Linked DNA regions of Oryzias latipes. The protein of the gene in region 3 binds, or shares a complex with, the protein of the main gene of each other region. Links are inferred from orthologs where the notes say so. Each region holds a gene or a part of one and is shown on either strand. Other genes may lie near its edges.

Region 1 (3,752 bases), on a different chromosome or scaffold from region 3:
CTCCCCCTTCAGGATCACTCCTACTACATTCCTCTTTCCAACCACATTGTGATAAAACAGCTGGAACCTGCTCCTAATTTATTACCCTTTCTCGTTTCCATCTATTCTCTTGAATATGCAGGATATCCACCTTTCTTTTTTCCAACATGTCATTCAACTGTGTAGTTGTCACTGTCAAAATCCCTACATTCAAAGTTCCACACTCCAAGTCCAACACATCTCTTTCTTTTGGTTTTGTTGCCAACTAACATGGCTTCTTCCTTGTACAGAAGTCTAATCTCCACTGGCACCAGTAGCATTGGTGGCGGTCAGTGTTAACCCAGACCAAAAATTATCTGGAGTCAAAGTTTGGTTCATGATTTGTTCGATTTAGTTTACATCGAATGCCACTCTTGACACAACCTTCTGAATTTACCCGCACTTGGGACAGTGACACAAAAGACCTGAATTGTGCCCTCTTGTGGTGACAGTAATTTTCTAATGACTAACAATATTCACTTATTTTTGGCACTTGATTTGGACATATTATACTGATTTCTGTAATAATGGCATGTCTACTTACGTAATTAATATGTATTTCGTCTTTGTCATTTGATTCTTTAATAATTTTTGATTTTTTTCAATGACCTGCACTTCAACAGGGATCAGAAATTAAGAACAGTATGAAGATAATTTAGGTAAAGAAAAAAAAGCTAGGTAAAATATAACTGGAGGGGAATTATATAGGATCACATCTAGGCAATTAATTTAAATAATTTGACAAATTCAATATTGTATAGTTTCAATGTGTCATGTTCTGTACGTACAAGCTAATGGTGGTATTTGTGATTAAGAGTAATTAGATTTACCAATCTAATTTCTTCAACTCGTATAACTGCCATTATAAAATAAATATACGATATTATGTTGTTCACATAATCAATTTAAATATTTTCTGATAAATCTATTAATCATTCACACAGATGGCAGTTTCGGAAAGTACATTGAGTTAATCAAAGAGGGCTGACTGCAGAAGCGAAACCGGAAGTAGTGTGCGGTGAGTGCTCTCGCGTCCAGCTCCGTCCTCCGCGAGCTCAGCAGTATTTCGTCCTCTCTAAGCAGTCTTGTCAGCGCGCGGCGGTGTTGTGGAAGATGGCGCTAGCCGAATGGAAATCCTAATGACAGTTTCCAAATTTGCCTCTTTTTGTACCATGGTAAGTGGACGGCAGTTTTACATAGTGATTATTAGGACTTTTTGCCTATGTAGAAACTGACAGTACTATGTTATTTGAGATTTAAATCTCGGAATTTTAAATGAAAACAGTGAAAATCGGATTCCCGTGCTAGCCGAGGAGGTTTCTGATGCTAACCGAGCAGCCACCCTCCTCCTTCTGAGCCTCTTCGCTTTTGCCGCAAATCCTTGAATGTTTATATTTGTTATTTATTTACTTAAAGTTAATGCTCCATTATTATTATTTTCATATTTACACGCCCTATTTGGTTGTAGTGACTGTGCACCTGCTGTAGGGGTTCAAAGCTAGCTTGCTAATGTGAAGCTAAAGCAATGTTTAGCTTCCCAGCAACTGGATTGAGGAAAACTTCCGATAAAAACACGTCCGGACTGTGTTTTGAGGGAAGCGTTGAACATTGTAGTGATGCTGCAGCGTCAACTACTATCAAATAACAGTTTTAGTGTTGGCAATGACGACACAGATTATTAGCTGCGCAGTTGTTCTTCAGACAGTTTGCTCGACAGTGGTGATACTAGGATTACATCTCTAGAAGTGCTTTTTCCCTCAGAAGTTGACAGCATCCTCCTCGAAAATAACCGTTATACTAACTGAAAGCTTGTTTATTATATATATAATGGTGCCACGTTTTGTTGCAAAAAGTACTAAAAATAAATAGAATTCAGGAATGGAGGCTGTTTATACAAACACCTGTGAAATGATGGGCTGCACTCTGGAGCTCAGTGAATTCCAGGGTGGGATTGTATTAGGATCCCACCTACAACAAGTCAGTGATTTCATACCATAGTTGGAGGGACATCAGCTTAACCACAAAGTGTCCGTCAGTTTATGTGGGCTTCGAGTGAGCAGATCATGAGACACATGACATGGAAATTTCTGCACTTAAGATCTGATTCATTGGTATAAAAGCATAACATCACCAGACCGTAAAGCAGTTGAGATGTGTTCTTTGGAGTAAGAAATTCAGGTTTTCCATGTAGCAATCACATGGATGTGTTTGGGTTTGATGTTGGTCTGACTGCACTGTGCTAAATGTGAAGTTTGTTGAAGGAAGGATTATGTTTGTTTTTCTGAAACTGGGCTTGGATCCTTTGTTGTAGTGAAAGAAACTATGAATACATTTCGATACTGTCAACTGTCTTTGGGGGGATAGGTTTAGGATGTTTTTGTTGCTGTTTCAATATGACTGTGTACCAGTACACAAAGGAAGATCCACAAAGACCCTCGTCTTTGGTGTGGAAGAACTAGTCTGCACAGAGGCCTCTCCTTAACCATCCTTTGGGATGAACCAAAGTGAAGACTCTAAGACGGACTTTTTCATCCAACATCGTTATCAGACCTCACCATTTTACCTACTGAGAAGAATGGAAGTTGTTATCGATGAAAATGATGGACTGACTTATGGATTATGAATAAGTACTTGTGGAAATCCAACATTCATCCCTCCCTCCACCCCTTCCTGCCTTCCTTCCCTCTCTCCCTCACTCTTCCACTCATCTGGGACCATATTATGCAGGAATGTTTTAATAGTCTAAAAAAATGAAAGAAAACAAATCTATTAAGTAAAAACAATTTAGCTTTGATGAAATTGTAATTGTTACTCTGTGGACCGCTACCTACATTTTGTTTTGGATAACATAAAAATTATCTTCTTATTCAGTCTCTCTCTCTATTTATTTATTTTTTAACAAGTTGTTGTGCAGACTGAGTATTTGAGTTTAAAAATAGTTCAGATGCATTTGATTGGTGCACATAGATTTGGAAGCAACTTGGCACCAATTCCTTTAAATAAAAGGATTCCTAATAGTTTTTTCCAAGTTGACATGGGCTTTAGAGGTAACAACCCCCCTAGAAAAAACCTAATCTCAGTTTATCGCTTATTAAATGTTAACAAGTTATGGTGACTAGTTTTTAAGTTTCACTTAAATAGCTTCAAAATAATGTTCAAAATCTATTTACTTTCAATGCTCGGTCTGATACATTCACCCAAACAGGGTCGAAAATCAGTTTTAATTAAATAACTCTTTGTAACAAGATTAGATGCTGGCTCATGAGCTGAAAAACATATATGATGATGGTGATTGTATTCTTGAAATGACAAAAATATTTTTAAAATCTGTCCTTTTGAGCCTCAAAACTTTAACCTTTTGACCAAAATGTGACCTTTAAAATCATGGTTGCATGTAAAAGTGTTACTAATGTGTTTGTGTTATTTTAACAAAGGTAAGGTGACTCTTGGTGCTTGTATGTTGTGGTGTTTTAGGGCGCCAATGCCTCTGCTCTGGAGAAAGAGATTGGATCTGAGCAGTTTCCGGTCAACGAGCACTACTTTGGTCTGGTCAATGTAAGTGACTGATTTGAAGTGCAAAACTTTATTTATTTAAAACTGTTTCACCTAATTTAAATGATACTCTTAAGCAGCTCTCAGCAGCTTTTTTATTAGCACATTTTTTTGTTTTTAATTCATGAGATTTTTGACAGTTATTATTTTTGGGTTATTGTACATTATTTATTTGTGTTTTT
Region 2 (3,752 bases), on a different chromosome or scaffold from region 3:
CAACATTTTTATCTACAGAAGACAGTAGATTAATAAATGGTCATTAACTCGTATTAATTAGATTTTAACTCTCGTTAACTCTCCCTTTAAATCTCGTAAATTACAAGAAAAACGTCATAGATTGACGAGGAAAAAACACCAAAGTTTTCCGTTTATCGGAGCCTAGTTTGAAGATGAAATATGTGGAGCCTTTTGTGAAGCTTTATTTCTGGAAATGTTTTAAAAAAAAGAGATTCTGAACCTTTTGATGACTCAAAATCAGATTATTGTCAGTGGAGCTGTCTTTCTGGGGTTCAGTGTCGGTAAAGCGGAGTTTATGTAAAATAAGGGTTCAGAAACAAGTTTGGGTGTAGAGGACCGCTGCAGCCTTTATTCTCCTTTTCATTCACATAACCTGAAGTTCATTTGTCACATTACGTCATGAACCTGTCATCCAAACACCAATGCAGAGGTAAACAGTGTTACATACGCCCCCTCCTCCAGATGAAACGTCCCGTTTCAACATAAAACAATAAAGAGGAATGAAAATAGTCTGTTGTATTAGCACTAGAACGTTGAAAATGACAAAAAAAAGTGCTGCTCCTCAGACGGAAGCATCACACAGACGTAGAAATCTTGTCTTTCATAGAGGAAGAAAGGATTGAAGTGGACATCTGCAGGGACACCGATGTCTTCATCAACGGCTGCAGAGATCCTGCAAACCACCCATCAATAAATAAAACGTTAATAAATCATAAATCAAACAAATGAGCTTCCAAACATTTGGAACGTTATCAATAAACATTCAGCTCACCTGATCAACTACGTTTAGTCGGTCTGCTTTGCTGCTGCGTGGCGTTCACTTTAATCTCGTAAATTTATGAGTTTTTTCTTGTAAATCTACTACTTAAAGTCTTGTAATTTTACTTTTTTATGTATTTGGTGGCCCTAAAACGTGTAATGACGTCATATCCTCCGTTTAAAATCCGAATTGCTTTTAAGATCCAGGGCACTACATTGTGTTTTAGTTGTTAGGGATTAGGGTGGGAATTCGGACACAGCCATGTTCTACTTTATCCTGCAACTTTATACTTAGTGTAACATGTGTGTGATTCAAGCTCATGTGTGTTTGATTTAAGCTTGAGTGTTTTGGTACATTGGTACCTTTAAGGCACATTAAAGCTTGTAAATCAGTGATGGAGGCAGTTCTTGTTCAATGCATTTTTTATTACAAAAAATAAAATAAAATATTTCCACAATAATTTAAATTATTCATTAACATAAAAATGTCTGAACATTTTTTGTATCAAAACGTAGCCCTCATATATTTAAACACTTCTCGCAGAAATGACGTTTTAAAAATAAAAAAGAAAAAGCGATAATTTTCGTAAAGTTATAACTGCATTTCCCACAATGCCTTACATTTTGTATTTGGGTTTTTATTGGTCTTTTTTTAAGGCGAACCCAGTGTTCCGTCTCTGTGTGTGGCTGTTTCTTCCTGTCAATCAACCAAACCCATTTGTTGACCAATCAGAGTTGGTTTTACCCTACTGGGCGGGACTTTGACCCATCAGGTTTGTTTCCTGGTCGCGGCTAGCAACCCGCCGTCTGGAACTTTGTGTGTCTGTTTTCCCCGGTTCTCGGTCGGTTTCCAGCGGCGGGCTGTTAGACATGTTTCCGAGAGGGAAGCCGCATCGAGTCTGAAGCAGGCGGGACCGTCGGCACAGCGCTGGCCCGGCTGCTCGGCGCTTCTCGGGGGTTGCAGTCTGGCCTCTAACCGCGGCCGTGAACCAACTTCATCCTCGCGCCGAGTGTTTATTTTAAGAAGATGGCGGTGAGGAGGACACTGTGAACTAAATGACTGTCAGAAACATCGCCTCCATCTGTAATATGGTGAGTTCCTCTCTGCCTTCAGCTGGGATGTCAGAACGGCGCTGGGTTGATTTGTCACAGAGATTGATTGACAGGTGAGGTGCAACTGACAGCTCGTTGGTGATTGCATAATAATGCGATGCTGCTGCTACAGGGAGCCCGGACATCCTACTCCTCACTAATCTGTGCTCGTGTTGCGTTCAGGGACAGGGCAGAGTGGGGAATAACAGAGCTGCGTTACTGCCAGTAGTATTTGCTTTAGTTAGACAGGACGCTGATGTCCAAACTAGTCTGCAACCATGTAGCCATGCAGCCATGCAGCCAAGCAGGCATGCGTTGACGTGTATCGCTGCATGACTTTGTAAATCCTGTTCTCCAAAAACCCCCGGCCTTCAGGCTCTGAAACTAGCCATAAGAGTCTGGTTGATGTCTGAAGTTCTTGGCTGGATTTCACCACCAAACCCCAGAGTTCCATTCAAATTCACAGTATTGACCCAAATAGATTCCGTTATTGCAGATTTTTCAACTGAACATCTAAATGTTCGTTAGTTTGCCTAATGAGGAAAGTCCTCATAACTGGTGATTCAAACAAGGCAAAGGTGGAAGAAGCATTGAAGACATTCATTGCACAAGTAGTAACAATTATTATAAACGTATTATAAACGTCTGGCAGAAAAAGTGAAAGCTGGTAGGGATGTGTGAACAGAGGCCTTAAATACCAAGAAACTGTTTTAAAAGGAAAGTGATCCATTTGTTTTACGAGTTCATTTGCATCGTGCAAAGCCTCAGTCACATCCACCCAGGGTTGCAGACTTCTGCGTTGTCGCGGAGGGTTGTAGACAGGTGTGGCTGCATCTTAAGGGGAGCACAGGTGTGCCTCACAGTTCTCTTTAAGTTTATCTGGTCACCTCAAGGGGCATCATGAAAGTGGAACATACCATTATATTTCCTCCCCCTGTTTAGCACATGCTAACTCACCGAGTTCATCTGAAATGTGTTTGGGACAAATGAATTGGTCATAGTGTTCATTATGACCTGTTGCCCACAGCACACCTTTTTGAAAAAAATGTGCATGAACATTTTCACTCTATGGGATCACAGAATGATCTACGACCTCGATATCCCGTGGGCCTCCTTAATTGTTCATTTTTTGCTTGCAGAAAGCCCATGTCCTCTCCCAAAGACAGTTGTGACTAATGCACAAGTTATGATTGGGAATTGACTTTTTTGATAACCAGTGCCATTCTTCATGCAAGAAATGTTTCAAACTGGAAGTATGAAATCCCACAGATCCTGAAACCGTCATCTTATTGTCTCTTTATGTGTCAATGGAATCCATGTCAGTAGATTTGTGCATAAATATGTCCTCCCCCTGTTTAACACATGCTAACTCACTGAGTTCATCTGAAATGCGTCTGAAACCCCAGCCAGCACCTTTGTGTCTGTAATGCACAGAGCTCTGTTGTGATGGGGTGGGGGGGTGCATTGTTCATTTACCATGCGCTCTTCTTCACATCACAGACACGGAGCACAAAAAACAGACTTGTTGTTTCACTGGTTTTGTTTGCATGGATGCTTCAGCATGACTGTGGGGTGTACTCTCTTGAATGAGGATCATTCAGGCGTACATGAGTTATTAGAACTTTCTTTAATCCGTCGTTCATTTACATTCTTTGCTCAGACCTCACGACTTTCCAATCACATGTTCTCTTCCCGTCACTCTATCTGAACTCCCCCTAGCGCTCACAAACAAAGCAAACATCTCAGGACCCCTTAGCTGTCCAAAACTGCCTGAATCTTAATATCCCTGTGCTTTACATTCCTAAATCACATTAGGTCACATGTGCATCTCTGCAGGTGGTAGGTCAGATGGAAATGCTTTTGGTTTTGTTGTCTCCTGC
Region 3 (3,752 bases):
ATGCGCAGACTAAACCTGTCCATTGACGAGGCCAAATACACTTATAACGGGGGGGGGGGGGGGGGGGGGTGCAAAGGATTCATTTATATCCATATTCGCACACCATATTCGCACACTTTTTTTAAAACTTTTTTTAAGTTACTAATTTACTATTTTCAACGAGGTGCCGTTGAAAATAAAAAAATGCCCTAAACAATATTCTCCTACAGAAATAAAAGTAACAAATAAATATAGAATTAAAAGAAAGTCTTTCCCTGGTGTTTTTTTTATACAACACAGCGTTACTTCCCCTGTCAAAATGGGGAATTGATTGTTTTTAACAATTATCTTTTTTTTTTTTGCTTTTATATCAATGTAGTATATCTTTAAGTTCAACAGCACTTACATTTATGCAAGAGAATATCAATATTTGACATTGTTATGTGACTATAATGTTATATATAAAAACAAGTATTTTCTTTTTTTAATCACAAAAAGAGTCAAAGTTCTTAATTGAAAAGACTGATAGGTATTGCATTCTCTATTATCCTGCAATACCCTAAAACATAGAAGGCTGAAAAGAGTACACTGTATTTTTAATTTTGTAGACCAAAAGGTTTATAGCACTACTTAGACATCATAAAGTTTTTAACTGTAGAGTAGTAAAAATAAAACACCACAGAAAGACCCACAAAGCTCAAAGGAGGCTCTAGGGATCATGTTGACTAGCCTAATATCACAAATTCGTATTAAAAATTAAACCATATATCTGAAACAACTTAAAGATATATGTATGTTGAACATTTTATTTAAAAAAATAATTTTAAGCTTTAAAACTGCAAAACCGCAAATGTATTTCCAACAACTGTGAATTATGCTAACGACATAAAATAAAAATACACCTACGTATTATTTATTAAATGTTGATACTTAAAAAACAAACAAACTGGTTACATGCTTGAACAAAAGAAGATGGCAAAATAAAGACATATAAGAAAATAAAGCACATAAAAAATACTGGGTTGTCATATAACTTATTGTCCTCAGCAAAAGTGAGAAGTTTTCTTGCTTTTTGATTTTCATAAATTCGAATGAATTAAAATATAAACAAATCTCCTTGTAAAATACATTTTCAATGTGGTAGATTTTTTGAAAAAAATATTTTATTAATATAAAACTTGCCCAGTATTATCAAAAACATTCAAAACTAAATCAAAAAACAACATGCTAAGTGGACACTAAACATTTAACTTTTTTCCCCTAAACATTTAACTACAATACCCATAATGCACATCGTCGAAACCGTTTTCTTGTTTTCTTTTTTTTTACCGGATGTAGCATCACATGAATTGACTGTCAACATGCAAGATGGCCACACATCACAGGCAAAATGCCGCTGGGCGGAGGAAAGTACAGGTACGTTTTCTGAGTTTTATAAGAACTTAGTGTGTGGGAACAATGTAATTGTTGTCTTTTAGGTTTGCACAAGTGTCTCATACCTGCTGAAGCGGCAGCAAAAAATCACTTGCGGAAGCGGCGTGACAACTATGACTCATGTCATGGTGCAAGCCGGCTAACCCTGTTAGCTTAGCTTAAGTAAGGTGTTAGCACCGTTGGAAAAGGAGCCTCTAACTTACAATTTGCTTCTTCAAATACCTTAGTTGCATATCCGAAAAACTTTACATGTCAGTTGGCCATTTTCCCCTTTGCGTAAATGCCGGTGTGTTTTAGCTAAATCTGACGTAACGGTTACGATGATGCTGGTTAAGCTACACTGTGTCCTGGCTGCGTCTAATTGCTGGTACGACGAAAGCGTCTCCGTATATATCTGCCATTTTCTGCCCATTCGTTATGCTTCACAAGGGACGCTATCTTTAATTTCATAGTGTGTTCTAATTATACCGGGAGGTTTTGTGTCGGTTACGTCTTCGTCCCCTTACGGTGATGCGAGTGCGTGAAGCGTGTTCCACGTCCAAAAGTGGGTGTGTTGTGGGTTCAACACTGCCTGTAAGCCTGAACCAGGCGCCGGTCCAAGAGAGAGGCTGACTGCAGTCGCATCTTTGTGCCACAGGTGTCTTACGTTATTAGGGACGAGGTGGAGAAGTACAATCGAAACGGGGTGAATGCACTCCAGCTAGATCCTGCACTCAACCGGCTCTTCACTGCTGGGAGGGACTCAATCATCCGGATATGGAGTGTCTATCAGCACAAAGTACAGTTTATGACTTCAATTAAATATATACATTTTTTTGTTTTAGAGTTTTGCAGCTGCATATAAAGCGACAGAGATACTCTTTTAAATGATGCTACGTTTTTTGCAGCAGGACCCATACATTGCATCAATGGAGCATCATACAGATTGGGTAAACGATATAGTCCTTTGCTGCAATGGGAAAACATGTGAGTTTATAAGTATTAACAGCAGATTTGATCCAAAGTTTGTGTTTAGCCTCTAGCAACTCACCTCTCCTTCTCCTCCAGTGATATCTGCCTCTTCAGATACAACGGTGAAAGTATGGAACGCGCATAAAGGATTTTGCATGTCAACGTTACGAACGCACAAGGACTATGTTAAAGCTTTGGCGTACGCCAAAGACAAAGAGCTTGTAGCATCGGCCGGTCTGGATCGGCAGATCTTTCTTTGGGACGTAAACACGCTAACTGCCCTCACTGCTTCGAATAACACAGTCACTAGTGAGTACACCTATAGTCATGTGATGGGTTTAGCCCGCTTTCATGGGTAGACGTGTTTGTGATCCACCTTTGGGCTTTTCTGTGTTCCTTCAGCGTCATCGCTGAGCGGGAACAAGGACTCAATCTACAGTCTGGCAATGAACCAGATGGGCACAGTTATTGTTTCTGGATCCACTGAAAAGGTTTGACACACATCTCCAAAAAAAAAAAAATCTATGGTGAACCAATGCACAAAATTTTTTCTTTTTGCTTTGTTTTCATATTTCTTATATTTTTTATCTTGCTTTAGCCTGAAGTTAGATCTGTAAGATTTTAAATCTTGACAGCGTGAGTTTTTGTTGTTTGTTTTTTTGTCCTAAGAATCCTGCTAGTCTATTGCCTCTACTAAGTGTTGTTGTTTTTGGAAGTTTTTTCCTCCTAAAGGGGGGTATCCTCTCTATTGTTCCAACATTGAATGCTCTTTATGAGGCAGTACAATGACAATTCTTCTATGTAATAAATCTGTCACACACATTCATTCACTTAGGCCTTATAGTAGTAATCTTGGCAAAATTAGACTACAAACATTTTAAATATATCTTCTTTGCCTTGAATTTTGCTTTGGTTTTTTTATTTGTTTGAGGCCAAATTGGTTGTTAATTGTTGCTTTAATTCAGCTGCACTATAAATTGTAATCAAACTGTAAGGTTTGTTTATCTACATAAATTTAGCTCTTTCTCCAACCTTCAGGTTCTGAGAGTGTGGGATCCTCGGACATGTGCAAAACTCATGAAGCTAAAAGGTCACACGGACAACGTCAAGTCCTTGCTGCTGAACCGAGACGGCACGCAGGTGATTCACCAAAGCGCTTCAAAAACCTCATCATGCTGAGCCGCAGGAATCCCAAACTCTTTAATCCCGCTCTGCTCCCCCGGCAGTGTCTGTCCGGCAGCTCGGATGGGACCATCCGCCTCTGGTCTCTGGGCCAGCAGAGGTGTATCGCCACGTACCGAGTGCACGACGAAGGCGTGTGGGCCCTGCAGGTCAACGAGGCCTTTACGCATGTCTATTCAGGAGGCAGAGACAAGAAGATCTACTGT

What was found.
Region 1: the proteins of wdr48 (region 3) and usp12 are in contact, whole or in part, in a crystal structure (PDB 5K1C), measured with the Homo sapiens proteins. The link is inferred for Oryzias latipes from reciprocal best matches to the Homo sapiens genes WDR48 and USP12. Residues at the interface, in NP_065890.1 of Homo sapiens: Arg50, Trp77, Asp118, Tyr119, Lys121, Leu137, Ser170, Tyr172, Thr188, Asp211, Asn212, Lys214, Ser230, Gly254, Trp256, Arg272, Ile363, Ile364, Leu424, Lys425; in NP_872294.2 of Homo sapiens: Arg185, Leu187, Thr188, Cys189, Glu190, Thr191, Ser227, Lys230, Cys236, Arg237, Ser238, Lys239, Gln240, Glu241, His243.
Region 2: the proteins of wdr48 (region 3) and usp46 are in contact, whole or in part, in a crystal structure (PDB 6JLQ), measured with the Homo sapiens proteins. The link is inferred for Oryzias latipes from reciprocal best matches to the Homo sapiens genes WDR48 and USP46. Residues at the interface, in NP_065890.1 of Homo sapiens: Arg50, Trp77, Asp118, Tyr119, Lys121, Leu137, Arg139, Ser170, Tyr172, Thr188, Asp211, Asn212, Lys214, Ser230, Gly254, Trp256, Arg272, Ile364, Leu424, Lys425, Gly521; in NP_073743.2 of Homo sapiens: Arg181, Leu183, Asn184, Cys185, Glu186, Thr187, Cys222, Ser223, Glu224, Lys226, Cys232, Cys233, Ser234, Lys235, Gln236, Glu237, Gln239.

The regions. Positions count from the first base shown.
Region 1 is NC_019878.2:17,502,709-17,506,460, forward strand, and holds the start of usp12 (ubiquitin carboxyl-terminal hydrolase 12), read left to right. Parts: upstream 1-1,057; 5' UTR 1,058-1,145; coding exon 1,146-1,193; intron 1,194-3,492; coding exon 3,493-3,573; intron 3,574-3,752. UniProt on the Homo sapiens protein: Deubiquitinating enzyme that plays various roles in the regulation of the immune response and inflammation.
Region 2 is NC_019862.2:988,206-991,957, forward strand, and holds the start of usp46 (ubiquitin carboxyl-terminal hydrolase 46), read left to right. Parts: upstream 1-1,530; 5' UTR 1,531-1,836; coding exon 1,837-1,872; intron 1,873-3,752. UniProt on the Homo sapiens protein: Deubiquitinating enzyme that plays a role in behavior, possibly by regulating GABA action. May act by mediating the deubiquitination of GAD1/GAD67.
Region 3 is NC_019875.2:17,404,494-17,408,245, forward strand, and holds the start of wdr48 (WD repeat-containing protein 48), read left to right. Parts: upstream 1-1,265; 5' UTR 1,266-1,347; coding exon 1,348-1,395; intron 1,396-2,050; coding exon 2,051-2,191; intron 2,192-2,300; coding exon 2,301-2,379; intron 2,380-2,460; coding exon 2,461-2,673; intron 2,674-2,766; coding exon 2,767-2,855; intron 2,856-3,402; coding exon 3,403-3,504; intron 3,505-3,590; coding exon 3,591-3,752. UniProt on the Homo sapiens protein: Regulator of deubiquitinating complexes, which acts as a strong activator of USP1, USP12 and USP46. Enhances the USP1-mediated deubiquitination of FANCD2; USP1 being almost inactive by itself.